Mytilus edulis: one gene and its partners. The main gene of each other region encodes a partner of the protein of the gene in region 2 in a complex. Links are inferred from orthologs where the notes say so. Each region holds a gene or a part of one and is shown on either strand. Other genes may lie near its edges. The genes, in order: DNA-directed RNA polymerase II subunit RPB2, general transcription factor IIF subunit 1-like, RNA polymerase II subunit A C-terminal domain phosphatase-like and general transcription factor IIH subunit 4-like.

Region 1 (7,824 bases), on a different chromosome or scaffold from region 2:
ACCTTAAGCTGTTTCAGGTCTCGGTCATTGAAATGTTTTCAATATTTTACCTCATATTTATAAAATATCACTAACACACCTTTTACATATTTTCTCTCACTACTGTTCAGATGTGTAGTATTCTGTGTATCTGTGGATTTGTCTTTTTCTTCGCTTTTTTTTTGTATTTTCCATAAGACAATGAATACGTCTAACTCATATTGTAGCAATAAAGCCCAGAAAAAGCAAAGGAAAACATCTTTCATTGCTGTTCTTTGTCTTACAGTCACAGTGAGACATACAACACGGAGCAAAACAAATCCTCTCACCTCACTGTATGTTTAAGACAGTCCAGGGACTTTCTATACTAGTATAGACTGTCCCTGGACAGGCTTTAACTAGCACCGATGATAAACATATTCTTACCCTCTTAAACATAATGCTGATGCTGCGGAAAACTACTGGAACATTATATATACTATTCCCATTGGAACATTAAGGATAGTGGTGCAGCAAACTACTGTCATTGTAATGTAGGATACCGTGAAATAAGAACAAGAATACATTTATAAAACAAGTTTTAAACATAACATGCATTTAAGTGATCAAAAGGCAGTGACTATTTTGCCAGCTTTGATTAAAATATTCGATTTCAAGCCTGCAAAATAGCATTTTTTCTATAGAAATGGCTATTTTACCGCCACCAGCAATATCATAGTGATTTTTTTTATTTTTGCAGATTCTTTGTAAAGAATGAAATTTAATATTCACGTTTGAAAAGTACTATAAAATGTGAACTGTCAACATAAAAGAATCAAAATCATATCGTTTAAAACGTTAAAAATTCTCTGAAACTGACATTATCAAGATGCCTGATTTCTTGATTGACAACATATTTTATTTCTTACTATCTAACTCTAATAAATAAACAACAGCTTTGCAGTTTGACGTTTACTAGTTACTTAAGTAGTATATATCTCCCAATTGATCTCCCAATTGATACGATATTCCCGTGCTTGTATTTCCTATCATGATATTCTTCACAGAGTTGCTGCTCACAAATAAGCTATTAAACCATAAGTTCAAAAAGGTCAAGTTGAAATCATTCCTTCGTAAATTTTACGGACGCCATCATGAGTTGGTCGACCGTCATGGAATAATTTGCCCGTTTCACAGATGATATCATATATATATATATATATATATATGTCCCTTACGTTAAAACTACAATCCCCTTCGCTTTTCATGAATATGACCTACTGAATAAGACTATTTGCCGGGTTTGGTATAACATGAGCAACACGGCAGGTGCCCGTGACATGTGGAGCAGGATCTACTTACCGTTCCAGAGCACCTGAGATCACCCCCAGTTTTTGGTGGGGTTCGTGTAGCTTAATTTTTAGTTTTCTATGTTGTGTCATGTGTACTATTATTTGTTTGTTTGTCTTTTATATTTTTAGCCATGACGTTTTCAATTTATTTTCGATCTATGAGTTTGACTGTCCCTCTGGTATCTTTCACCCCTCTTTTAAAAAAAAATTCCAGTCACAGCATAAAGAAAAATTTATAAAACTTGAAGAAAAAATAAAGAAAACTGCGTCAGGACTGCTTAACAATCGAAAGAATTTATATATGTAATATAAAAAGTAAAAAGAAAGAAAACGGAGACATGAAATGCCTGTCATTAGCGTTTGAGACAAGATTTTGCGGATTTAGGCTGCTTGTGTCTCTTATTGATGAATATGTGCCATATAGTGCGGTGACTGAAGGCAGATTTTTTGGAATTTAATCTCCCCACCGAACACACATCTACATAATATATCATTGGAAAGAAGAAATCGTGTACTATAATAATATGCCTGTCGTCAGGACTTGATGTGGTCACATTTTTTTAAAATTGAGGTCAAAGGTCATATGTAAAAATCTGTGAAAGTTTGGGAGGGTTTCAATTTTGACATTTTTTTCTATTTCTAAACTCTACCTATATATAAATGATACTGTTTTGGCTTAAGTAATGTTTGTTTTTATACATAAACCTTAATCATTGAGATTTTTTTTATCAAAAAAGATCCTAAAACCACGTTTTATAAACAAAACTTCAAAAATCAAGTTTTCAACCTATAAAATGTTTAAAGCACCTTAACCTTATGAAAAATATCAATTTCAGGTAAAAATCAAGTGTCATGCAGGACAATACTTTAAAATTATTTTTTAAACTATCATAGTGGGTGAGTCATCAAAACAAAGCCATAGAACACTACAGTCAAATATGACCTCAAATTGAATTTGCGGATACTTCAGTTTTTTTATAGACTACTCGTTGCTTTTGGGTTTTTTTTTTCACAATTATTACTGCTACCATAGTATTATCTTTTGTTGTGTATTTAACTCTGGTTAATATCTATTACATTATAGGTTTTGTAACTATGTCCCCCCTTTTATCCCTTGCAACGTACCCCAAACTTCAAAAGTATTCCATATAAAAAAAAAGAAGATGTGATATGATTGCAAATGAGACAACTCTCCAAATGAGACCAAATGAGACATAAAACAATGATAGGTCCCGTACGGGCTTCAACAATGAGTAAAATTCATACTGCATAGTCTTCAATTCCCGAAATGAATAATGTAAAACAAACAAATACTCTAACGACCTGATTAATGTACAAAATAAATAAGAAAAAAACAAATATAGAATATAGAAACACTGCATTACCGTCTCGTGACTTGAAACAGACACATACAGATATTGGCGGGGTTTAACTTTTTTAAGGGCACGTCAACACTCCCCTAACCTCGGACTGGAATCGTGTGTACCAGTGCAACAAGCTTTATACCAAACCAACCGTTATCTCCATCATCTTCATTTTCACCAACCGTCACAAGACATGTTTTAATATTTCTACACATTTCACTTATGGCCACAGGTCTGCACATGAAAGGTTCTGCTCAAAGCAAACACTTTATTTTGAGTTTTTCTTTTCAAGTACAGACAAGGTATTGTAGAAAGTCCGAACACATTTGTTCCTAAAAAAAATACCAGCTTCAAACCATCCCTATCAATTCATCCAAGATTTTAAAAGAGATCTAAAAGGAGGTTTAGGAAGGTGTGATGACATCCATATGCTTGTCTGCAAAGATGCTGGGGAAACATTATACAAGACGTACGCACTATCTTGAATTCGCTCAATTTCATGGTTGGCAACACATTAGATAGCGTCGCACTTTACTTTAAGAAGCATAAAATCCATTGGCATTAAATGTTTCAACAAGATGTTTTGAACCAAACTCATGGTACATTTGTAAAGCCAATCCTAAATGAAAAGGAGTAAAACAAAAACGATTGCCTCAACAATTGCTTAAGCATTTCCACAATTTCTCCGGTGCCATATCATGAGAATAGTCTTGGCTGTATGCATTTTCATTGAGTAACCATAGAATGAATTGCAATAAATACGAAGGCATTGGCTGAATTAAAAACGAAGAGAAAATTCATCCGAAATTGGGTAGTCTTCTTTAGAGTTTCGATGTCTTTTCTAAGTAAACTTGCAGCGGAATGAAATATCTGCCCGAAACTGAGGGACAACAGTCAGATAATTGTATGTCGTCATTAAATATTAGACAAGAATCTTCCTCGCTCTAAAAGGGGGAACAAATATGTTTACTTGTGTAAGTTTTGTAGCATGAACGATGAATAACTGCCTGCACGGAGTTTTTCAAATTAACAGCTATTGTATGAAACAGCTTGATGTTCATGATCACCTCATCCAATCTTTTATGCAATGCAGATACAAAAATCGACTTCCCTAAACTGGTAAATTGACTCAAAATTTCAATCGAGGTTTTTTTATTTGGCATATTATGCACTGCATAAAATGCAACGACTTTTGTCTTTTCTTTGAACTTAATGGAGCAAGTTGCAAAGGACTTGACATATCACGGAGTATTTACTGAAACTATCCGTCAATTATTTTAATTTTACAATAAGACTTTTCTGACAAAGTATATTTGATGTTTTATAACGAAAAAACATAGAATATAAACATATACAAACAAAGTATGTGGCATATATCAGTGCACTGTAATTGAAAATATGTGTATATAATAGCGAAAAAGGTAGTAATTTCATATATCATTTGAGAGCAAATTATTGACTAATACACAAAATGTGACGGAAGGCAACTGATTGAGTTCCGTGTTGAAATTGAAGATATTTACTTCATTCTTTTTTCATTGATTTCTTAAGGTTTTTTCATATTTTGTTTCCGAAATTTTTATCACTAATTAGTTTTATTAAATATTATATGCTTAAAATATTATGGGATAATTTTTATTACTACTATGAAGAGGAAACTAAAGTTTGAGTCTGAATTTGCAATTAAAATTACCTCAATTTCAAATAGTCTAAACTTCGCAAATTTTATAGATTAGAAGAAAATAAAATACTGAATGGAATATTATGACATATAAAAATAGCTTCAGGAAAAACTATTTCAATTAAATGTAAGAAAACATACACATTTTTTTCATTTTGAAACAGGGGGGTTGAAACTCTCCAATATACTACCAGTCATTAAAACGACTTTTTAGAAAAAAGTGACCGTACGAAATTCTGACGAAAGGGCGAAAACTAAAGAAGACATATTTGTCTTTAAGTTAAGACCATTTTTAGCCGTGTGTTATTTGGGGAGATTAAACTCGCGATCTAGACGACTTTTTACACTTCTGTCACCGCACTAATAATGTCGATGAATAAAAACATTTAGGGTCGTAGTGGTATATAATGTCCCTTTTATTTTTGCGGTCATCATCATATTTTTTTTTTAAAAACCCGAGAAGTATCGAACAGATGTTTATATGTATAAATAACTCAAATTGCCGGCATTTAAATGGCGCATTTCAAACGCGTCAGTTAGTTGTGAAATCCACAGTCATCTGATACGAAAACTAACTGAATATAAAGAAAGGGTTGTAAATTATACGAAACCAACATGTATTTACCAGAAGAAGGTTAGAACTGATATACACACATCGCCCCTGGAGTACTTATACCTTTTTCAAACAATAACATTGCATTTTTTTTTTCAATCTCTCTAAAGTCCTCTAAACTGTAAATCAGTTATTATGATTATATATATCTAAGTATGATAAAGAGATCACCAGAAGATTTAATTAAAAATGGTTTTACAGTAATGGGGAAAACATTGGGCCATGTTTACAGTTTTGGGGAATAAATGAAGAAATTATTCGAGTGAGTGGCTCTGAAGAAATTTTGATAAAACTGATGTACTAAATGACAACAAAGGTATTTACATATCAGTATGAAAAATAACTTTACAGATATTGACAAGCTGGTGAAAGACTATCCATTGCTAAGTCTAGAGAATAGGTTCTGATACTGACAGTCCATAGAACAGAAAAAAATAGCCAATGGCATCCTCTCAACCAAGGATTTGTAAAGTAAACTATACTATACAAATCCTTGTCTCAACTGACAACATAAACAACCAAAACAATACTTGACGAGGAAAAATCAAACAATCCAAAAATAAAAAACGTCGGGATTTCGTAATACTTGAATAAAATAAAAAGTAACTGCCTACAATGGTCAATGGAGATAACCAATGTCAATGTGCACACAACATGTATTTTAACGATCACTTAATTTCATTCCTGCACTGGAGGGGATAGGGCTTGGGTAAGAGGGAGATTTCCTGGGCATTGGGTCTGTTTGCCCCCTATACGTTGGTATCAGGTCTGTTCACCCTAATTACATGTTCGCCCTGAGTCGGACCCGGACCTAGATTACTTTACGTTTTATCTGCTTTTCCACACCCTATTCCTATTCAAATACTTATAAACAAAACATGTATTTTGTAGATATGCATGAGGCAGAGGAGGACAGTGATGAAATTACCCCTGATTTATGGCAGGAAGCCTGCTGGATTGTCATCAGTTCCTACTTCGACGAAAAAGGTTTGGTGAGACAGCAGTTAGATTCCTTTGATGAGTTTATTCAGATGTCAGTACAGAGAATCGTAGAAGATTCACCACAGATAGATTTACAGGCTGAGGCACAACATAAATCTGGTGGTGTAGAAACTCCAGTAAGTCAATACAGACAAGACACTTAGTATAGCTAATTTGGTCACATTAAAAGATTAATATATTTTCGGTTGTAAAGAGTAGAAGTTCAACTACTTTAAAAATATACAATGTACATCTGTCATAAATCTTTTATAATCTGTGACCTGCATCAACAGATAAGCAGTGAAAATGAATATGTTCGAAAAGTGTGTAAACATCATAACATTGTTTTCTTGTGCAATTTTTCTTGTTACATATGTTTTTGCGTTTAAACATTGTTATAAGCAAACACTTTACAGGGACACATTATATAGTGAATCTATAGTCATGATAGTAGAACCCATAATAAACATAAATTATATTTTGCAGCCTAGATACTTGTTGAAATTTGAACAGATTTATCTGTCTAAACCAACTCATTGGGAAAAAGATGGTGCTCCTAGTCCTATGATGCCAAATGAGGCACGACTAAGGAATCTTACGTAAGTTATAAAAATTATATGGAAAAATGCTACATGTACATGTAACTATATGCGCAATAATAAGTCTTTTACGTTGGTTAACCCCAAAAAATTTTCAGTTGTCCTGGTTATTGAATTCATAGGAATAAATAAACCTTCAGGGATTGTGACATTATAAATTTGAATCTTTTTAAAGTTGACACAACTATACTATTAAACGAGAAGACCTCATTTTGTGTGTCTTCTCTTCCTTCCACAATAAATCAATCATCATGCCTCTGTGTCCTATAAGTACCAAGCATAGTCGCATTTGTCATCCATTCTTATGCTTAATCAAATTGAATTCTTTTGAGAGAGAAACGAAAAAAAGGCGTTTGGATATTGTTACCGTCGTCAGACCGACTTTTAGTCATAGATAAGACTTCTGGATTTAAACTTGCAGATGATTTTCATAGTACTCGGAGAGAGGTCAATAATTTTGCGTTTATCTACATGTATACTATATATGATTAAACTACTATAATATATAGAGACTCTATATACATGTAATTATAGCAGTGATTGCCTTGGAAAGGAAACTTGGAACTAATAGTTGAAAGCAAATACACTTTATTATTAATATACGTATGACGGTATGTTCATAGTATACAGAAGTCTTCAGACCACAATTAATTCCCTTTGTTCCTGTTCTTGGAATATAGTTCCCAATTCAGTGATATTGTTTGCCTCAAATAACAGCCGAAATTCGGCCTTTTCCCCTAGAGAAAATTCCCAATTACTAAAAAAAATGGCTTAAAATTCCTCCCAAAAAGGTCTACATTTTCCCAAAACTGATGGCATTGGTAGTAATGTTTGTAAATATCGTATTCATGTTATTATTTTGATATTATAAAGCACTTTTGAGATCCGGTTTTCTGATCAGAATCATCATGGTGTTTGTAACACATGTGGTTTTCAATGCATTAAGTACCATCATTGCTTCTGTTTCTTTCCCCTCTCCGAAAAGAACCTTCCGGGTTGAAAATGTCTGACAACCAAAATATACATGAAAAAACAGTGCAAAAAAGACAGCAAAGGTCAGCCAATAATCGGAGATGTGTTTAGAATAATATTTCCCAATTTCAATAAAAAATATGCATTTTTCCCAATAAAAAACGGTAGAGGTAGTTTTGAAAATAGACAACAATATCACTGCAATTATTATATGGAGTAATGATTCCGAAGTATTCTGTCCACTCTACTGGTTTTTTTTTTAAAATGTTTACTATTTAAGAGGTCATGATATCAGTTGCATATA
Region 2 (7,098 bases):
CCATGACAACATTAAGGTTGATCATTTCAATATATTTCACTGGAGGTCACTAAATCTAACCAATATATACATGATATATATATAAGAAGCAATTTGCTAGTGAAATCCAACAAGATTGAAAATGGAAATGGAGGGAATTTGTCAAGGCAACAACAACCCCGACAAAGAACAGAAAATGCATATGATTTTTAATATTTGGTTTGATCAGAACAGGTTACTTTAACAATCCTGTTCATGCTGTTGCATCAAATGGACTAGATGATTTTTGTCCAATGCATTTTATATACTAAGATAGAAATATAACTGGATTGAATTAATTTTTGAATCTACAATATACCAATTTTCTTGGATGGAGAAAAGATTATTTGAGCACTTAACTTTGTGGTTCATCAATCCCAACAAAATCCATAAAAATTGGTACTCCATGAGTTATATTGTCCCAAGTTAGTAACAAAATTTTTGGTTCCTCTAGCATAAACAACTTACTTGAGAACTCTTACACTGTGTTCTTGTGTGGCACTGCCAGAAGCTGCAGCCTATAAAAGTAACAAAAGTATCATGAGATTACAGAAGTATAATTGATTCATATAATCTGTATATATGTGTGTGAGTAAACTTTAAAATACAATGCTTGCTGAATGAACATTTTTTCTTTTGGGAAAAACACTAGTCACTAGTCAGAAGATTATATATTCTGATGTCTACATCTACATCTACATGGGTAATACGTAAACAGTCAGTTGACTCATCATACACATAATTAAGTTAAAATTAAAGTTGTGTCATCAAAAAGTGCTCTTTTAAAATCATATGTTCAGCATGTTCAGGTGTTTAACATATATATACATGTGCCAGTGCAGATAAAAACATGTGTGTGCTGATTTACAGATCTGTGTGATATGAGTTTGGTCTTGACTAATAGGCTAGGTGGTAGTTCATTACAGTTTGTGATGGTTCTTACGAAGAACCTATGCTTTCTTTTTTTCAGAACATGATCCTAATCTGACAAATTCTCTTTGATGGAGCAGAGGTGTCATTCTTGCTGGTGTCATCAAGCATTCTGGAATTGGGATTGCAATAAATTGGTGGATTATTTTGTGAAAAGGGAGTAAACATGATGTTTATCGTCCCTTATGTAGTTGTGGTAGTTTTATAAGGTCCTCTAATATATGGGTCTCGAGTATACTCATGCTGATGAATCTGGCTGCTCTCCTTTGCCTTTGGATCATTTCTAGTTGCATTGACATACATCTTATGGCTAATCCTGCTTGAACTGTTGACGTCATTACAGCAAACACATTTCCATTGATCTGTCAGATATTTTCTATTGTGACGTCAAAACTTTACGGGAACTATTGCGATGTCCAGTAACACAGTAGATCCAACATGCCTATTGTGCTAGGGTAGGCCAGAAACAATAGATTATTTTCTTATGGAATGTCCAGTTCTGCATGAAATCTGTGCACCTTATCTGCATAATATGTAGTATTGATGTGTGCATGAAATGTACCCATAGTACGTCACCCTAGACACTAACTTTATATTGGATCCAAGTAGCTTTATCTGTGACTGTGGTTGCAAGTGTAAATGTACTGATGCTTGCTACACTATAAAATACATAATGAGGAAGCTTTGCTTTGCTCTACACAGACTACAAACTTGTATGATCAAAAAAGCGTAAGGGTCTTTAACAGTAACCAACACTCATCCCACAAGGCATACCTCATATGTCTTTTTATGTTTATAACCATTTCTATTTGTCATTGTGCAAATTAAAGTACTCCTTCGAAGATAGGATTTTCTATACCAGAGAATGGCGGACAAATAGTGATAAGATGTATTGTTGTATGTGTTTTTGGAGATGTGGGTCCCAGACATTGCTAGCATATTCTAGTGTTGGTCATATATATCTAACGCTTTATATTACATGTAGGACGAAGTCCCCTATTACGGTAGAAAAATCAATAAAAAAAAGAAGAAAAAAAAAAAAATTCGAGAAAATTTCCCGAATTTTTTAGTATATACTACATTTACTAATGAACTCAAAATCGTTAAATTTTTTTCAGACTTTTTTAAATCCCCGCATTTGCGCAGAAATTTATTTCCTTTTTCCAGTCTTGTATGCATGAGACTTTGACTAAAATATATATTTATCAGTAAAGTAAAATAAAGGATTGGAACTCAAATACCAATAGGGCTCTTCACGGTTAGTTCGGCCATATTGGATAGGGGGCAGATTTTTTAGAAGGAGGTGGAAATGGTATGAAAGTGTGGGAAATCCTATGTGTGTTTCCAAGCAACAGCTCTGTTTTAATGATGTTTTCCCGTATTTTTCACACCATTTTTACCTCTATTATGAAAATCTGCCCCCTATCCAATATGGCCGAACTAACCGTGAAGAGCCCTATTCATTTTTAATAATCGTTTTATCATTTTATATGAAAAAAACGTTACCTGATGAAAGCGTTTCTTTTGTTTACATTGAATATGACGTCATAACTTAAATAACGTCACACTTAAATCCCTAACAACTGAACCAAAATCGAAAACATTACGGTATTTCCGTTTCTTTTATCAACATATTTGAATTAAAATAATAATTCATAGACTTCGTCCCCATTTACAGGTAATGCCTGCCTCATATTATTCGTTTGACATTTACCAAGATTCAGTCGTATAAAGCCTAAAGTTGTATTTGCCTTTGTACTTGTACTGATATTTTCCGATGTCATGGATGTGGTAATCTGGTAATTTCATGATAAAGTCAAGGATTTGTATACTATACAAATCCTCGATAAAGTGTTTGATAGCTGATGTGAGGACTTGTATTGTATCATCTTATATAATGTGTCAAATTAATCTTACCACCTGTGGCTGACTGATTGGCGTTGCCATCAAAATGTGGTTTTAGTTATATAGGCTATTTTCTAACTCGTAAAATAAAAAAATAAAAAAATTATAAGTTTTCGGTAAAATTTTCAACGCCGTTTTTATAGTAATGTTTTCGGATTTATATTATTCTCAAATGGACAGTTCGTGAAGAGTTATTTCAAAGGAAAAGAGAAAAGGCTGATAAAGGATCACTTTTATCTATTAAAAGAAGTAAACAGCTATCAAGACACTTCAGTTGCAATGACTTTTTAAAATACGAAAACAATTAAAGCAAGAAAATTATCATTGACCAAAAAGAGAAAATAACACAAGAATGGCCAGAAATGAGGAGAAACAACTTGGGAGGTTAAATAGGTTATTGTTGAAGCAACAAAAAGATGGTACTGACTTTAATATCAACTTAAGTTGCAGTCAAATAACAATTTTTAACAAGTTATATAAAAAGGGCCAGGCATAGTAAAATATAAAATTGTTCTATATTTATATCAGAGACATATATGTGTATATATGTCTCTGATTATATTTCTTATAGTTATATACACCTGAAGATCTGTGAAAGCAGTGAAAGTACTTGTAAAAGTAATGAATTGTTTTATATTATACTTATGTATACAAGTCACATTACTTGCAGATCTGTGAAAGCTGTGAAAGTACTAGTAAAAGTGATGAATTTAAACTGTTATTATCTTTTATTAATTTTCTATTATCATGATTATATAACATATTAAAATTCTTCTGGTTATTCCAGGCACTTTCTGTACTAAGTATAGAAAGTCCATGGTTATTCATTACTGAGTGACACATTTTAGATATTCTTCTTTTTGTTTAAAGAAACTATATATACAGTTCTGCCAACTTTTCATGAAGCAAATGCGTGAGATTTAATGACCAAAATTGAAAAGATCAAAGAGAAAAAACAATAGTTCAAAGGAAAATGCAGCCAAAAAAGCATGAACATGCGTGAGACTTGGCAGCCCTGTATTATATGTTTAAAATGTCTGCACCACCTTGCCATTTGGGTCTTTGATTCATTTGATTTAATTTATATTTCAGAACAGCAGAAGAAAAATCCCAAAAGACCTAGATTGGTATGTTGTTAGGTTTTTTTTTGTTATATTCATTGTGTTTAACAAATTAAATCAACACTTGATAAATTCTGTGTCTTTGAAGCTATTTTTAGAATTTATGTTCATGAATCAGGAATGTTCAAACAAACATTTGAAAGCCAGGAATGAGTGAATACTTACGGTCAACTGTGCCTTAGGGAGATGGATTCTTGTTCTTAATTTATGAAAATGAAATTTTAATTAAGTATGTTCAACATGATGTATTATGTTTCCAGGTGAATAAGGGAATTATATACCTATTCCTGCTTCTTTTTCCTTTAAAAGAGAATCTGTATTTATCAATAAAGGAAATCTACTTCTTATTATAACAGGATGAAATCAATACAGCTGAAGACATCAGATACTGGATACCAAGTATTAAAGATGATATTGACTTTTGTTTGAAGGTAGTTTCTTTTACTTTGTCACAGTTTCAATTTTGTTTCTATGTGTAGTTTTCAAATTTTATTTTATATCAGTGAGTCAGCAGTGCCGCAGCACCCCAATAACACTCAAAATAAATGTGTTCAAAATATATCCAGTCTTTAACAATAGATATGTGTCTATACAATATATGTATTAGTTAAAGTCCCAGGAAAAAAAGAAAATTTGTAAAGGAAACAAAAGTAGCTATAAAAACTAGCTTTCAACACTAAGTTGCCAAACAAACAAAAACGTTTCATAAAATAAAGCAACATCTTACTTGAGATAACCACATGAACATTTATTTTACGTGTAATTATGATATTGATATGAAAAAAACTGTATACCGGTACATAAGAAATTGTTCACTTAGTTAGTAAGTAAATAGATTTTAACATGCAAGAACTTGTACATTTTTGTGTAGTATGTGTATATTAAAGAAGTGGTTCATAGGTTCTTGAATTTATACTGATATTACCACAGGTTAACCCTGTATGCCAAAATTGTATCCCTCCCTGTAAAATATTTAGCATATTTATCTGAATATTTTACAAAAAGTGATATGGAGGGGTAAAATATCAACAGTAAATGTCAACCAGTAGTAAAATCAGTTTAAATTCAAGTCCTTATGCATTATTTCTATTATTATAGGAGCAATACAGCAATTCTTTTGGATGGAAGTGCTCTAGATGATGGCAAATATTTGCTGTTCCCTTAATTTAACCCTTTCAACGCTACACAAAAAAATAGAAAAATGGCTGCTGCTGCTGCATTTTTTTTGTGTTCATTCATTAGAACAGTATATTCCTTTTCAGACTGCTGTATCTTTTTTATTATAAGAGATACAGAAAAAGTTATTGCATGAAAAATGCACAGGAGAGTATGAACTGTAATGTTAGGCAGTTATTTCAGTAAAATTTTTATCAGGTTATCTGCATTTTCAGGTAATTAACAGGTAAAAGGTGTAATTTGTTACATTTGTGTTGAATTTTGAATAAAAACTACTTTTCGTCTTCATCTATTTTGTTTTTTTATCTGCCATATAATAAAGAAGACACCAATTGCTCGATTCCGTAGCGTATTGCACCATACACAACGTATTATGTAATCATGGCACAAATCAGTGGCTCCGTCCTCAAAATTTTCAGTCAACCTCCGTTTTCCCCCCTTTTTCTACGTCTCGTAATGATCGATCAAATCATATTTCCCACACGAATTGAATGTAATAAACACATTGAGATAACAAGAAACCTTTTAACTAATCCTCGTCATCAGTTTCGCCATAGAAATGCTGAAATATTTCCATATTTACAGCTTCGTTTCCGATTTCCGCCATTTGCATTTGTCAAAATATTTGTTTTTATTTTCCTTCAATTTTCCTTCTACTGCATGATTTTACAATAAAAATTGTCGGGATTTCAAGCGCAAATGAGACCTTGCATATCCTCGATTCATACAAGGAAAAATTAGAGAGAACCCGAATGAAAACCGAATGGTTTAAGAGTCCTTATGAAAAATCCGTTGTCATCGCGGCATATGCCGCGAATAGCAGTGGCGAACGGCGTATGTCATCGCGGCATATGCCGTGTATAGCGTTGAAAGGGTTAAAAACAACTATCAATATTGATGAAAGAGAAAAAGAAAACAAACTGATTTAATAACATACTAAAGTGATTTATAATAACATACTTAACTTAGAAAAGTTTCATGGGTTTTTAATGAAGTTAAATATTTTCCTTCTTTCATTTAAAAAAATGGCTTTCAACTTATTTTTTCATAGTTTGTTTATATTACTGTGTTTTGACGACTTTCAGTTTCACATTCCTGCATTATAAAAATATTACCTTTTAACTACATCTTCCTTTGATATAACAATTACAAATTTAAATGAAGGAGAGAGAGAGAGAAACTTTAGGATGTGTTATTTTTCTGAGTATTATTTTTTGGATTAATTAAGAATTGTTAAATTAGTCAATAAAATGACTTTCCAATTTTTTACTCAGATGTATTTAAATTTAAAAGAAATGGAAAATATACATTGATTATTTCATTATTTCAGCAATCACAAGTACCATGTTACCCTGAAGCAAAAATTAAAGAATTTAATCTGAAAATTGATCACTTACAAAGACAATACAAAGCATTTGTATGGAAGTTGAGGAAGCTTGATCCCAAAGTAAAGCAAATTCCATGGGTAGAGAGAGGCTATACAACAGGTTGTATGTTAAACCTATGTTATTTTTAACCTGATTTTTGTTATTCCATTTTCATCCAGTGGCATTGATGAAAACTATATTTCAAAACACAAACAAATTCTCAGAGTCTTAGGCATTCTATTATTAAAATCACACACCAAGACAATGTGATTTCTTACGAGTATCCATAACAAAGTAATGTATACTCAATGAATAGCTTAATTTTATTTTTATACAAAAATTGCATTTTGCATAGTCTTTAGGATTCTGAAAATATTGTTATCTTACTAATTTATATAGTTTGTTTCATGCACTTTTATTGTTCTTGAGTTATGTCCCTTTAAATGCAGAAACATCATCTGTGTCCCATGACATATTCCCAATTGTTTTTAATTTGATCACCAATATTTTCTTGTCTGTAACATTCTTCTGTTATTTTAGGACAGAAGAGGAAATTGAATTCGGATGAATCTGTGACTGTT
Region 3 (7,846 bases), on a different chromosome or scaffold from region 2:
TATCTGATCAGACAATACTCGTAATTCACCTTGAACTCGTTAGTATTTTGACAGAAAATCAATAATCAGCTGATTGCATATTATAGCAATCCACAACAAAGGACTAACTAATAAAGGTGTTGATTGTATTGTTTAACAAAATGATATGGTTAAATGGTGTCCTTCATATGTCACACAAAGAATTTATTAACCACTTTGGGGCGCACGTGTTCGAATCAAATTTTTGACGTCGCCTCTCTTTTTATTGATAGTCCAGAAAAGAAAAACTGTTGTTATGACGAAAGATGTCCAAAAGCAAGAAAAATCTCTGATTAAAAACGTTTTTCTTTGTGTTTGATATAGATGAGGGATCAGTTTCAAGTGATAAAAGCTTTTGTTTTGTTGTAAAAAACACGTCTTAGTACAAAAGGGCACATATTTTTCTTTTGAAGAAACTTTCCCAAAGAACTGTACATCTTTTTTATATTATATTGTCAAAACATGTCCAAGAATTTTGTTATATTCCAGGACTTATATCTTCTTTATTATCTAAAGTAAGTGGCCCCCTCTTTTAGAAAATTTGTTCAAAATGTAATGAATGTTCCCCATTTTAAGTTATAAAAAAGTTCTTCGTTTTAAAAGTAAATGTTTAAGGTTTATTCATTACAATGTAGACTCTTAGATAAATTTGAAAAAATATTCATAGGCAACAATGAGGCAACATCATCTAATTTAGGGTGGAAGGGGTAAAAAAAGGAAAATTTTAAAAGAAAAATATATTTATGTTACTTGGCGAAAAAAAATATTAAAGTGGCGAAAAATATATTGTTTTGGCTAACAATGGCTAAAGAGGTGGAGAAAAAAATAATAGATCCGAGGGAAACCCTGCTTAAGGGTTCCAGGGAACCCAGTGTGTCACCTTCTTTTGCTGAAATCGAAGGCTGAAACAATTCAGTTATTTGAACACAAGTTTTTTAAGCTTAAGTAATTGCAGGAATTTATCACTATTTTGTGCATTTTTCCTTTGATCTTTTTAGATGATAATTTTGCATATCTGATAATCATGCTACTCGCTTGAGATGGACAATTATCGCTAGAAACTAAGGAGGCATGTGGAGTTGCTAATGAAATTGACAACATCGTCATAGGTTATATAGCGATAAACAGATTATCATTGGTCATCTCAACTCAATTGCTTTTCTCGTTTTGCCGTACCAGCTCAAAGGAGAAAACAATCTTGTTCAGATGATAAAAGATAATCTACAGTATAATTATCTAACATCATTGATCAATCAACAGTTTCTATATTTCATGATATATTAGGCATGAGGATGGAATATTACAGATCAGCTGAATTATCTATTGTGGAGAATCTTACAAATTAATGTACATGTAGGCTGCAGTCACAGAAATAAGTATTATAAGAACATCTAAACCAGTGACAACTCTACAACAGATTTATCCATCGGATCACCAGAAAACAAATTCTGTATATATAATTTGTCTAAATAACAGCCCAACAATGTTAGATCTTTAAATTTTTTGGAGGCAATTTTTTGTTCTTCCCTGGATTGGATTCAAACTCATGCTACCAAGACATTGAGGCACTAAATCGCCTTGCACAATGTCTGGCACGCTAGACTATGCAACCACCTAGGCTAGGAAAAAAATCAAGCTTCCTGTGGCCAGTTGTTACTTTCCTCATCAGTTTTTATCTAGAGTCAGTCTTCACGCTGAACCACAGGCCCAGCAACCCAGGCTTGTAAAATTGCTTCCTGGCCTGTAAAGATCATATGATATACAAAACACCAGTATCTAACCAAAATGTTCCAAAATTTGAGCTCTGGGGCCTGTAGATTTAAAAGTTTATTGTGAAACTGTATATTTTCGTAACACAATATGAATTGTATTATATATGTTTATAAATTTTATTACAATATATGAGGTGGATAGTAAAAAAATGTGCCGTTGACGTAACAAATATTTAAACATTTAGTTTACAGATGATAAATGCTATATAAAACAATTATGTTGATTGGTATTTTTCATGACTATAATTCGCATAATTTAGCCATAATTGACAGAGACATACACTGCAGAGAAGCAGCAAATGCCAATTTTAAAGTCTTATTTGAGATCTAGAGCTTAACCAATTAAAAAAAAAAGCAGCTTATTCAAATTTTTTTTCATCATGTTTTTTAATTCCCACATTTGTGCAGAACGCAGAAATATACTTCCTTCTTCCGGTCTTGTTGTCAGGAGACTTTGAGTAGTCTAGCCAGGGCTCACACTACTTCAGAATTATAGGGAGAAGTGACTTCTCTTTTTAAAACTGATAGGGAGAAGTGGTGAGATTTTAAAGAGAAGTGCTCATTCGCGTGGTGCGCTACAATGTCTGGATTTTATTATAGTATAAAAGGCAGGGCTCACGCTACCAGGCGACTTGGGCGAAGAAGTCGCCTTTCCGACCGTCACATCGCTTTCCCCAACCCCCAAAAGCGAAAACAAGTCTCCCTGTTCTTGACGATACTCGCTTTCAGTCGCTTTTGTCATCGGACATTTTCAATTTTTACCAAGTTGATGAAACATCAATTTTTTATTGATAATTAAAGAAATTCAGACACAAACGATTCATTATCTTTAGAAAAGAGGTTGAAGCATTGTCTTTGCAGTATGTAGCAGGTTATTTGATAAAAATACAACTTTTTATCACTTCGTGCATTTCCGCAAGTTCCGGTGCCTGTTACTCGAAAACGTTCATCAACCTAAATTTCGGTAGCAAAATAAGTTTGTTACTTCATTTAAACGTGATAAAGTTTGCCTCCAGTAAATGTTAATCCATTTATTGCATTAAAAACGTCATATTCCTTTCCAAATAACTTGTCAAACATCGTTTATTTTTGTAAATTTTCTTTCATTCGTCCGCCATTGACCGATTTCTAAACTACAAATCTCAACCGGACCAGCTATGACCGAAATCCGTACTTTTACAATAATTACTACGGACACACGGATGGAACAGCTGACAGAAGAATATTGATCCCAAAGGGGGAAATTACGCATTCCACATGCATTAAGAGACTTTTGGTTACATCTAATTGATTGGTGTATATAAATCAGAGATGCAACTAATCATCGGACCCGTCGGACCTAAGGGGCAGAATTTATGCAGGTCCGGCAAAACTCGTAGCTGTGCAGGACCTGATGGCCGGCAATATTTAAGTCCGCTTGGGTCCGCCAAAACTGAAATCCCCGTCGGCCCCGGCAGAGTATTTTGTTTATAAAATTGCGATCATCTTTAATAAAAGTAAATGTCCTGTTCCCCCGCATTTTCTAACTCCGGGAACCAGTATTTCCGCCCAGTAATAGTCTTTCGTACCTTGTCCATCTCGTCCCGAACAATTCTCCGTATTTCCGTCATGTTTTTTGTTTTAGAAATTCGCTCTCTAGGAAGGAGGTCTATTAAGCATAGTTGATAAGTTCAGGAAATATGTCATGGCCGATAAAATTTGTAAGTGGGTCGAAACCCGGTAAAAGACCAAACCAGTCACCTATTCAAGTTGATAAAGCTTAACGTTTGTTCAATAGCATAATTTCATTTGATTTTTGAGTGAAAATATGGGTCTGGCAGAAATTTGATGGGTCTGGCAAAACTTGGTAGCCTTTAGGCCCCATTGTCTGACAGGAAAAAAAAACTGTTTTCATCTCTGATAAATCCCTATATTTTTTATGGATTTTTTTAAACTATTGATTAAAGTTGCTTAACTCTGAGATTATTATATACTAATATCAATATATTAAGCCCAGCTTAATAATTTTTATATTTTTTATGAGAAACACTGAATTTCATACACAAGATTCTGGCTTCAGACCCCATGCCAAAAAAAATTTGACCTTGCTACGCTCAGCAAATATATTTGGCCTCACTATTAAAAGAGGCTAGTTATGGCCCTGAAATCTTTGCCTATGATATGAATTAACGTTACCTGATGCATTGGGTTTCTTTATTTTTAATACATTGTCATTGAAGAGGGGGGATAGGACCTTTATCGGGACTCCGGGATCGGGTGTTTTTAAGCTCGGGATTTCGGGATTGACCCTTTCGGGATCCGGGAATAGTTTTTTTCGGATTTCGGGACATCGGGATTTACTTTATTTAAATTCGGGACCTCGGGAATTCGTTTTTTTAAGTCTGGGATTTCGGGATCAGGACCCCTCTTATCCCCCCTCATTGAACATGACGTCATAACTTAAATAACGCTATAAGTAAAATCCCTAACAACAGACTCAAAATCGGAAACCTTATGTTATTTCCGTTTCTTTTGTTTAACAAATATTTCAGTTACAAAAAAAATAATTCATACAGACTTCGTCCCCATTCACAGGTATTGCCTGCCTCTTATCATAATAACACCATTTTTAAAATTTGTTATGAAGTACAAATATATTTATGCCATCATAGACATAATCACATATTCTGTGCATGCAACAGTTCCTCATATCGAACCATATGAAGCTGATGGTGTGTATCTGAGGAATATACAGGAGACTCTGTTCAGTATGACCCAAAGTATTTAATTTCGTATCAAAACAACTCCCCCTTTTAAAAAAAAAAATGAACAAAAAGTATATTTTCTGTCTTAGGGCTTTTGGTTACAGTCCTGGCTCTGTTTGTTTTACATGTTTTAAATGAACTTAGTGTGTGTTAGAAATCAATTTTGATTACGTTAAAAACTCATACAAGATCTATCAATAAATTCTGTTGACATTCCTTCGGTCGGTCGTTCGAAAAAAGCGCCATGGGCAGAATAAGTGTCAGTAACTTCTGATTGGTTAAATTTACGTTATACCCTACTTAAATATCCTCTTGGTATCTAAAATGATACATTTTGTTTTCAAAATGAAATTTTATTTAAATCTTTCCTATATTTGTTGAATACACTCTATCTTTTTTAAGTTTTGCACTTAAATTTGCTGCGAGGTGTCAATATGGAAGCGGCCATGAAGTCAGTTCGCGCTCCAAATAAAAATATTCGAATCACAAAATGGAAAGTAAAACCAGGACACAAAGTCAATCAAGGAGCCATACTGTGCATTTATGAAACTGATGATGCAAAAGGTCTGAAGATAAAAGCCAATGAAGTTGGCACTATCTGTGAAATTATGGGTCAGGAAGGTGACAGAAAACCGCCAGGGTAAACAAATACTGAAATAGTGAAAAATACGGAAGCAAGACAAATCGCCCCACTTATGAAAAAATCGTCTAAACACTTGTTAACCAACTACCACTGATGAATAAGAATTGAATCCATTTAAATCTACTGCCAACTCGCCCCACTTTAGTCCAAATAATGATGTCTTTTTTTATGACGTCTTGCAAGGCTATTTTTTAAAAAATCTGTGACGCCTTCCAACGCCTAATAACATGTTCGCCCTAGGTCTGTTTGCTCTGAGTTTGTTCGCCCATAGAGTCCGTTTGTCCTACTAATATGAGGCAGGCATTACCTGTTAATGGGGACGAAGTCTGTATTAATTTTTTTCCTATTCAAACATGTTGATAAAAGAAACGGAAATATCGTAACGTTTCCGATTTTGGTTCTATTGTTAGGGATTTTAGTTGTGACGTTATTTAGATTATGACTTCATATGCAATGTAAACAAAGAAACGCTATCATCAGGTAACATTTTTTCATATCAAGGAATTATTAAAAATGAAATTGGTATTGCGCGTTCCTTCCTATTTTATACTAGACTGATAAATATATATTTTACTCAAAGTTTCATACAAACGAGACCGGAAAAAGAAAGTACATTGTACATTTCTGCGCATGTCCGGGATTTCAAAAATCTCAAAATATGACATAAAAAAAATTGAACGATTTTGAGTTCATTAGTACAATGAAAAATTCGGGATATTTTCCCAAATTTTTTTTTTTATTGAATTTTCTACTGTTATTGGGGACTTCGTCCCCATATTAAAATATTAATATTCAGGGCATTGAAGTTGAATAAACTTGTTCAGATATTTCTATGGTATGCATGTATATATCATGTATATTCTTGAAATTTATGGAAACCTTGAAGTATTTAAAAGTTTATACCTTCTTTAGGATCATTAATTGTTCAATGACAAAAAAATTCAAATCACTGATTATTGTGATACTTGTCTTTTGATGGATTATTAATAAAAAATCGTTTCGCTTTAATAAAATATTCAGCTTGAAATTAATAAAAACAATGATGTACGAATTGTTAATTATGAAACGGATTTACAATTAAGTTCATTTATTTATACTCTAATAGATATAGGAAGATGTGATGTGAGTGCCAATGAGACAACTCTCCATCCAAATAACAATTTAAAAAAGTAAACCATTATAAGTCAATGTACATGTACAGCCTTCAACACGGAGCCTTGGCTCACACCGAACAACAAGCTATAAAGGGCCCCAAACTAAGCATACTTTCGTGATTGACTAAATACAATTATTTTGTTAACAAATATCAATAAAGATAAATACATTGTATTCCACTATTGTACTCTGCAAATCAAAGGGAAAATGATAAATTGATCGCAGTAATATAAATATTCTGTCAATTTTTCAACAATCTTTTACATATTTTGTTCAAATACTATAAATAATGCGACTAGACAACAATTAGAAAGGAAAAAAAATCAGGGCGAATGGACCCTTGGCAAACGGGTATCAGGGCGAATGGACCCTAGGCGAACAGGTACTAGGGCGAACATGAGTCAGGGTGAACAGACCCGGATTCTAAAATTTTGGCATCATAATACAAAATATCTGACGCAAATGTAAAAGTGATTGTTGTATGACATCAATATTTCTACTGGGACAGATTCTGAGGTCAACTGGGATTAGCGAAAGGTTTACATGTGTTTAATTTACTCCTGTCAACTCCCCCACCTATCAAAAATTGTTCAATTTACTCCTGTCATTGCTTCACTCTTGTTTACCAACCCACTTATAAATTGATAAAATCTAATGATTACAGTTGAGTATCACTCAGGAGTACAGAGTAATGAATAAAAATAAAAGTCATTTTCCTGTTAGAATCTTGTTGCTTTCTTAAGCTAAAAATTTTTTTATAGAGTACCTCACAGGAAGTTGAATATTAATCAATTTTTGTGTTTATTTGTCATTTAAAGTTCATCCGAACAGAGGAAGGCTATGAACGAATATACAGAAACTATTACAAAGTGCCCTACTGGAAAATCGCCCACACCTATAAATTGCCCAACTTTTTCACCATCTTTGGTCATCAGGTGCAAAAAGCGTAAATTTTGACAATTTTTCTACCTTTATCTTGACCCTGAAGACCAAGGAATGCTTGTGTTAATTCGACCTGTTGATACTGTTTATAATGCTTTTTTGTCATTTTTTATTTATACGGATCTTGTCTGTACACCAGCTTTGATTATTTGTAATATCTTCACTTATTCTTACAACATTTGTATAAACTTCAAGATTATAAAAAAAACGGTTTTTTTCTAAAGTGTACATTGATTGGTTAAATATTTCTCAGTCATGTCCTGTTTTTGAATTTGTTTGTTAGCTTTTTGGTCATGAATGTTTGTCTCTAATATTTAATTAACTGTGCATTTGTATTCAGATATCGCAGATCAAATTTATTCGTTCATTGTTTAATCATACGTTTTTTGATTGAGTTAAGTCTGCCAATTGATATTTTATCGTATGTTTTTCTTTGTTGTGATGTTATGCTATTGTTTCAGAAAAAGGGAGAAGGTTTGGATCCATTAAAACGTTTAATCCCGCTGCAAATGTTTGCACCTGTCCTAAGTCAGGAATCTGATGTACAGTAGTTGTCGTTTGTTTATGTAATA
Region 4 (6,918 bases), on a different chromosome or scaffold from region 2:
GTCCTAGGTTCAAATAATAGCCTCTTTTTTAGTTTCTAAGAAACAGACTTAACCATGACAACTTGTAACATTGACCAATTACCCATAATAATAAGGTCAATGTCAGATGAACCATGCCAGACAGAAATTTTCACTTTACAATCAATCTTTGCTTTAATTATAGTTGTATCTAAGAAAAAATCTAACATGTAACCAGGAAAACTTTAGATTGATCAATAAACCATGAAAATTAGGTCAAGGTCAAATGATGCTTGCCAGACAGACATACACACCACAGCTTACAATATTTCCATACTACAAATAAAGTTGACCTATTGGTTATAGTTTGAGAAAAACAGACCAATACACCAAAACTTAACACTGAGCATTGAACTGTGAAAATGAGCCATTCATGAGGTCAAGGTAAAATTAAACCTGCCAGACTAATGTGTACATCTTAAAATATTTTCATACAGAGGAGAAATGATAAGAAAGAAATTAACATTACAAAAAATCTTAACTTATTTTTTTTCAAGAAGTCAATGAACCATGAAAATGAGGTTAAGGATGATGGACATAAGACAAACAGAAACTTCATAACCTAATTAAGGCATCTATATACATTCGAATCGACTGGAACTTCATAAACTAATTAAGGCATCTAAATCTATATACATTCGAATCAAAGTAGGAAGTATCCAGATGAGGTCTTCCACCTTCTTCGACATACATTTTTTAAGAAGATAGCTAAAGCTGCAGCAGGATCATTATACATTTTGTACCTATGTCAAGCTATTTGCTGCAGAAGTCACAGGCTCAACATGCTCAACAAAAATCATTCATTTGGGGATGGAGTCCCCTATTACGGAAGAAAAATCAATTAAAATTTTTTTTTTTTTAAAATCAGGAAAATTTTACTGAATTTTTCAATAAACTAATGACTTTTTTTAAATCCATGCATTTGCGCAGAAATCTATTTCCTTTTTCCAGTCTTGTATGCATGAGACTTTGAATAAAATATATATTTAATATCAGTATATTAAAATATAGGATTGGAACTCAATACCAATTCATTTTAATATGAAAAAAACGTTACCTGATGAAAGCGTTTCTTTGTTTACATTGAATATGATGTCATAACTTGATTAACGTCACACCTAAATCCCTTACAACAGAACCAAAATCGGATATGTAACAGTATTTCCTTTCCTTTTATTAACATGTTTGAATTAAAAAAAAATGCATACAGACATGACAGACTTTGTCCCCATTTACAGGCATGACAGGTAATGCCTGCCTCATATTATACTAAAACAGATTTCACATTCTTTCAAAGGTATGACACATGCCTCATTACATGTATCAGATAAAAGTGTCTGTCTTAGGAAATGTTAAATAATCAAAGCACCAAAGGGTGCTATAGGCAGTTAATCAAAAACCCAAAGGCAAACTTGGCCAAGTTCAGATGAATAGTGTAAAGAATTAGTCGAAATATTTATCTCAGGCATTGTTCTCAGCTATTTCTAAAGTATCAAATAATGCTTGTACAGTAATGTTTATGTTATGCAATCCTACCACTTTCAAAAGTAATTTCCAATTTATATTCATAAAGATTCAATGTCTGAGATTATACACATACACTGTCCTATCTTAGGGGAGAGTTTTGTGCCAGTTAAGATGTTTAAGCCGCCACATTCTGTATGTACCTGTCCATAGTGAGGACCCACTAATGCGGTGATTGTTGCTGTATATCATATTTATTTTTCATAATTGTTTTGTACATTTTTAAAAATTTTATTAATTTCTTGTGTATAACTTCTGATTTTAGTATGATGTCCAAGTTATTGTAAATGCTCTTTTGTTCCGACGTTGGAAAGTTCCAGGCGGAAAGAACTAACTAGCCGAAAAGTTCTCCAGAACTTATTAACTACATTGTAGTTACTTTGTTCTTCCTCTGGTTTAAAATTTTATAAAGTTCCACCTGAACAAGTGACTAGTTGAAATAGTTTACATTTTTGTTATCATGGTTATTGTGTTAAGGGGCCAGCAAAAACAATCCTTTGGGTGTAGGAGTTTCTACCTGCATTAAAGATCCATTGGTAACCTTCGACTATTGTCTGCTCTAAGATCTGGTTATTGTCTCTATTACACATTCCCCATTTTCACTTTCGATTTTTTTTACGTCTCAAATTATAACTGAATTAAAATATGTTGATTACGGTTTAACTGTCTTCCATTACTAATATCATAATAAAAAAACATTTATTTAAACTTTCAATAACTGTAATAGTAAGAATTAAGAAAAACTTGTTTGTAACTATAACTTGTTGAAAACATATTAAACGTTTCTCGAGTCTCGTTAATCGACTCGTTACCTTTTTATCCTATCATGCGATTTCTTTTCTTATTATTTTCAGGGGGAAATCGTTTACCAGCATAAAGTTGCTGAAGGAACCGCATAGAATTGATTCAATAACACTTAACGAGTGTTTAAATGTGAAAAATTATAAAAAGAAACATATAAAAAAGTCGTATTTTTCTGTACCGGAAATCGAGAAGTCCTTGTAAATCAAAACAATTACAGTGTGATACGCGTCACAGATTCAGACTTAATATTTTACAAAATATGCGACTTTGAAGTTAAATAATGCCGTCCTTTAGAAAACAGTTGTTAAAGTTTACATCACAATATTTATTGAACCACATCGAGCTTAAGCAAAGCACGTGTAGAATTATGTTACATTGTGTAACACCAAAGCGAAACAATCTTAAAATGACCTTGACATCAACCAATCAGAAAACTACAATAACAACAACTTAATTTGACAAGCATGAAGGTGATTTGCTAGAAATCGGAATAATATTAAAAAGAAAACAAATGAGCATTCATTACAGATTACTGAATAAAGATGATTTAAATAATCTCAATCAGACAAAAAAACGAATAAAATGATTAATAATAAAAGTACCGATGTATCATCAGAATTCTCCCAATTTAAAAGGTACGTAAATTTCGTCTTCTATGTAATTTGAAATTGCCGCCAACTTATATCAGCTTATATATAGACTACTGACGTATGTGATACGTATCGATGACAAACAATATTCCTACGACTTTTGCCATCTGGGAAATGTAAAAGACTCATCTATATAGATTTTCAGCGATCAAATATTTCATATAATTGTTCTTTGACATCTTAGCCCACAGCACAGGGGGTAATAAACTATAGAAGGATTTCTATCGAGCACTACTTCCTATGTGCAACTTCAAAACTTTTGGGAAAATCGACGACCATTTAACGTTTTTATGGTAATATTTTTTATATTCTAAAATAAAAAGTATGGAAAAATGCCCAATTAGTTATAAATAACATGATAGCCAGCCAGAAAATAAAAGCGGCACATATTTCAGCATTTATTGGGTAGAACATAAATCTAGGGTGCTCGCATAAAGCAGCTTAACTGCTTAAAAAATTGTGAACAGGAGAGTTACCTTTTTGGGAACATCCCGTTTGACAGAAGATGATGATTGCCTCAAAAGGAGTAAACTTTCTCGACTATCTACAGTTTTAAAATATTGAATATGATTCTGGTTACAAATTGAGCATAATGCTCTAAGGCGTATGTCTGAATTAAAAATCAAATTATTTCGGTGGCAAGGTAGCTTAAAAAGCTTAATTCCGAACTTTAAATAATTTGTTTTCAATTTGCACCAGGAGGCTGACATCTTTAATCAATTTTGTACCTCCACACTAAAGAGCTCTCCATGTTTTTGTTTATTTTTCTCAATTCTTTCTGTATCAATATGGGTCGAAAAATATTTGACTGAATGAAATTATTGATTTTCAAATGAATTAACCAATGTTCTATGACTTTACGCATTATAATTCGATAACGAAGCAATAACGTGAAATGAGTTCTCCTGTGTAGAAAGGTACATTTAGTCCTATTTTTTTCATTGTCATTTGTGCGTTTAAAAAAAGACGATTTTCTGGAGAAAAAATAAGATATTTATTGACATTAATGAAGAAGAAAAAATCATAAAAAAAAATTTGCAAGCATGGCAACTACAAGAAAATTGGACTGTAAAAATTTGCATGGTTACTTAAAAACTTTACCATGGCATGTTTTAGACAAACTATATTCACATCCTGCGACTTGCTTGGCTGTATTTAGGTATGTCCATCGAAGTAACCGATTCAAGACGTTTTGACTTTTGGCCTGACTGCCAGTTCGGCCACAGTCGTTTCGGTCTGTTATACACCTTATCGCTATTTGTCCGCCATTGCTGGATATCACACAGGTTCCCGTAATATTTTGACGTCATAAAACAAAATATCTGACACCACAATGGAAAAGTGATTGTTGTATGCGTCAAAAGTTCAAGCGGGCGGGTCAGCCGGGATTAGCGATAAGGTGTATTTCGGCCATACTGACAGTTCGGTCATACTTTGTAATGCACCAACAGTTAAATTGAAACATTATTTAAAATGTCTTTTTCTAATGCATGTCATACAAAAGTCTCTTGTCCACTAACTATCCTATCGGTAGTCTAAAACCTGTCATCTTATAATTTGGTTCGTTCGGTATTTGTGTTTGTACTCATCACACGGTAACCACATTGATGTCACTATGCTAATACCAGCGTTCAAAATTAGTGCACAATACGTTTTTTCTACTCTTGTAAATAAAGAATACATTTCTAAAGATATGTTTTCACTGTTATTCCAAAGTATTGTACAAAAATGCCAATTCTCTAATGACCGTTTCAAACCTGACTTTCAAATTCCTAAAAACATTTCAGAACTTCACAATATCCCACTTCAAGCCTCCATTGCTTTGTGTAATTCCATTCAGCGTCATCAATCTTAGTCATGTTAGTGGTAGACAAAACAGGCCAAGCAAATTGTAAAATAAAACAACGAATTCATGACCGAATTTTACAAGAACAGAATTCATATATTACAGAATCATCAAAATTATCATTTTTTCTACAGTTTTGTTTTTCAAATAAACGTGCACACTATCATGACAATGTTCATTATGTTGACCAAGTGAATATGTTGAAAGATCAAAAAATATCAAAGCTATTAGCCTACCGAAAAAAGAAAAAAAAAAGGTCAATACATGTAGGCGAAAGACTTACCACCATAGCGGGATATATCATGTCTTGAATTATGACATCTTGAAAGGGTATTTATTTTTTCTTGATTTTAACGCCTTTATACTGCTCAGTATTTAGGCACAAAAAATAAAATAGCCTTTCAATATGTCATAATCATTTGGAATAGTCTACTTTCAGACCACACTTTATGACAAAACGATTATCATGATTATTTGTTAAGTAATATGAGCATGTACATCAAAAGCTTAACATCATAAAACATAAACTTGAAAATTTACAATTTATTTGAGCACAACATTACATTCAGTGTATGCTCATCAAGTACTCAAAAATAGTATCTACAAGTATTATAGACATTAAATAATTAAATTTATTAATAACAAATGAATTAACCTAACAATTTCTTGGAACAACATTTAAATCTTAACAGGTACTATGGCCGGATCAGCCTATGGCCAAACTATTTGCGTAGCCAAATTGTCTTGAAAGAGAAGTAGCAATTCTAGATTTAAAAATAAACCTTGCTGGCTGACACTGACAGGCATTTTCGATTCTATGCCTCCGCCATAGTGTATAGTTTAGTTTATTTCAATTTCAGACAATTACCAGATTTATCCAAGCACTATGTTATGCGGATGTTATTTATTGAACAACATGTATCACAATCAGTGGTAAATCTGTGGGTTAACAGCAAATACCAAGAGTAAGTGTATAATTCTGTAAGACTGAACACTTTTAAAGCCTAATAAAGTTGTCGATATATGTGAACCGTGCATGCATGCTGTAAGCATGGTAAATATAAAAAAAAAGATGTGGTATGATTGCCAATGAGACAACTGTCCACAAGAGACCAAAATGACACAGACATTAACAACTATAGGTCACCGTATGGCCTTCAACAATGAGCAAGGCCCATACCGCATAGTCAGCTATAAAAGGCCCTGATATGAAAGTACACTCCACATTCTGTATGTGGCTGTCCAAAGTCAGAAGCCTGTAAATTAGGAGATAATTGTATAGTATTTTATGCTTGGCCTTCCTTAAATGTAGATTTTACTATTACAAATTGAGTTTACATAGAGACAATAAAATCAAGTTTTAAGAAGTCCAAGTTCAAGGAATATGTAAATTTGAAAAATCAAGTCAAAAGTAGTTTACCAATCGTCACATCTTGTAAATCAATTCAGAAGCGACAAAGTAAGGTAACAAAGACAAAATTTGGGAGCATCACATCACATCAACAGTACAATTGTATCTACTGTACATCATTGTGTACATGAATCACCCATTGAAAAAACACAAATAATTTTTAACTAATCAAAATGTTAGAAAAACATCAATGAGACTGCAAGTGCAACCCAACAACACTAGAATGACTAGCTATCCAAAATGAATCAATAAAAAGTATAAAACTGAACATCCATTTATCAGTAATCCGACATTGTAAAATAACAGTGTCTATACATTCTGGTCTTTCAAAAAGTACTGAATTTTGTCACTAATGTTTTGAATTACAGTGAACAGAAACAAGCAGTAACAGCATTAACTGACCTCAGAGTATGGCACGAAGAGACTATGACTGGTGGACTTCAAGGATGGAAAATGAATCAAACTTTCAGAAAGAATATGAAAATAGCCTTACTTGGAGGGTAAACATGAAAGAAATATTCAATTATCTAATGCAAATGTAATACAGATTTATTTCAAAAGTTTATGTTTAAGAAGAGTCAAAATGCCTGATTTTTATGAGACATCATCTTTTGTATTGGAATGATTTGTGTGGTTCTAATTATTTGTCACCTCACCCAAGATTT

Evidence for each region.
Region 1: general transcription factor IIF subunit 1-like (region 2) and DNA-directed RNA polymerase II subunit RPB2 share a complex: the UniProt entries of both Homo sapiens proteins name them as parts of the TBP-based Pol II pre-initiation complex. The link is inferred for Mytilus edulis from reciprocal best matches to the Homo sapiens genes GTF2F1 and POLR2B.
Region 3: the proteins of general transcription factor IIF subunit 1-like (region 2) and RNA polymerase II subunit A C-terminal domain phosphatase-like are in contact, whole or in part, in an NMR structure (PDB 1ONV), measured with the Homo sapiens proteins. The link is inferred for Mytilus edulis from reciprocal best matches to the Homo sapiens genes GTF2F1 and CTDP1. Residues at the interface, in NP_002087.2 of Homo sapiens: Thr470, Lys471, Leu474, Gln478, Ser486, Thr489, Val490, Leu493, Ala494, Leu497, Lys498, Leu500, Asn501, Pro502, Arg504, Met511, Phe513; in NP_004706.3 of Homo sapiens: Ala946, Asp947, Met949, Ala950, Lys951, Ala952, Leu953, Glu954, Glu956, Leu957, Asp959, Leu960, Met961.
Region 4: general transcription factor IIF subunit 1-like (region 2) and general transcription factor IIH subunit 4-like share a complex: the UniProt entries of both Homo sapiens proteins name them as parts of the TBP-based Pol II pre-initiation complex. The link is inferred for Mytilus edulis from reciprocal best matches to the Homo sapiens genes GTF2F1 and GTF2H4.

The regions. Positions count from the first base shown.
Region 1 is NC_092347.1:65,787,927-65,795,750, reverse strand, and holds the start of DNA-directed RNA polymerase II subunit RPB2, read left to right. Parts: upstream 1-4,812; 5' UTR 4,813-4,970; coding exon 4,971-4,989; intron 4,990-5,859; coding exon 5,860-6,086; intron 6,087-6,435; coding exon 6,436-6,548; intron 6,549-7,824. UniProt on the Homo sapiens protein: Catalytic core component of RNA polymerase II (Pol II), a DNA-dependent RNA polymerase which synthesizes mRNA precursors and many functional non-coding RNAs using the four ribonucleoside triphosphates as substrates.
Region 2 is NC_092344.1:32,398,415-32,405,512, forward strand, and holds the start of general transcription factor IIF subunit 1-like, read right to left. Parts: upstream 3,017-7,098; 5' UTR 2,896-3,016; coding exon 2,866-2,895; intron 537-2,865; coding exon 487-536; intron 1-486. Other genes in the region: uncharacterized protein, read left to right, coding at 3,206-3,272, 3,946-3,980, 4,331-4,405, 6,481-6,637, 7,058-7,098. UniProt on the Homo sapiens protein: TFIIF is a general transcription initiation factor that binds to RNA polymerase II and helps to recruit it to the initiation complex in collaboration with TFIIB. It promotes transcription elongation.
Region 3 is NC_092348.1:7,253,491-7,261,336, reverse strand, and holds the start of RNA polymerase II subunit A C-terminal domain phosphatase-like, read left to right. Parts: upstream 1-4,837; 5' UTR 4,838-4,968; coding exon 4,969-5,174; intron 5,175-7,846. UniProt on the Homo sapiens protein: Processively dephosphorylates 'Ser-2' and 'Ser-5' of the heptad repeats YSPTSPS in the C-terminal domain of the largest RNA polymerase II subunit. This promotes the activity of RNA polymerase II.
Region 4 is NC_092345.1:75,549,973-75,556,890, forward strand, and holds the start of general transcription factor IIH subunit 4-like, read left to right. Parts: upstream 1-3,915; 5' UTR 3,916-4,039; coding exon 4,040-4,155; intron 4,156-5,702; coding exon 5,703-5,807; intron 5,808-6,621; coding exon 6,622-6,753; intron 6,754-6,918. Other genes in the region: valine--tRNA ligase-like, read right to left, coding at 3,473-3,706. UniProt on the Homo sapiens protein: Component of the general transcription and DNA repair factor IIH (TFIIH) core complex, which is involved in general and transcription-coupled nucleotide excision repair (NER) of damaged DNA and, when complexed to CAK, in RNA transcription by RNA polymerase II.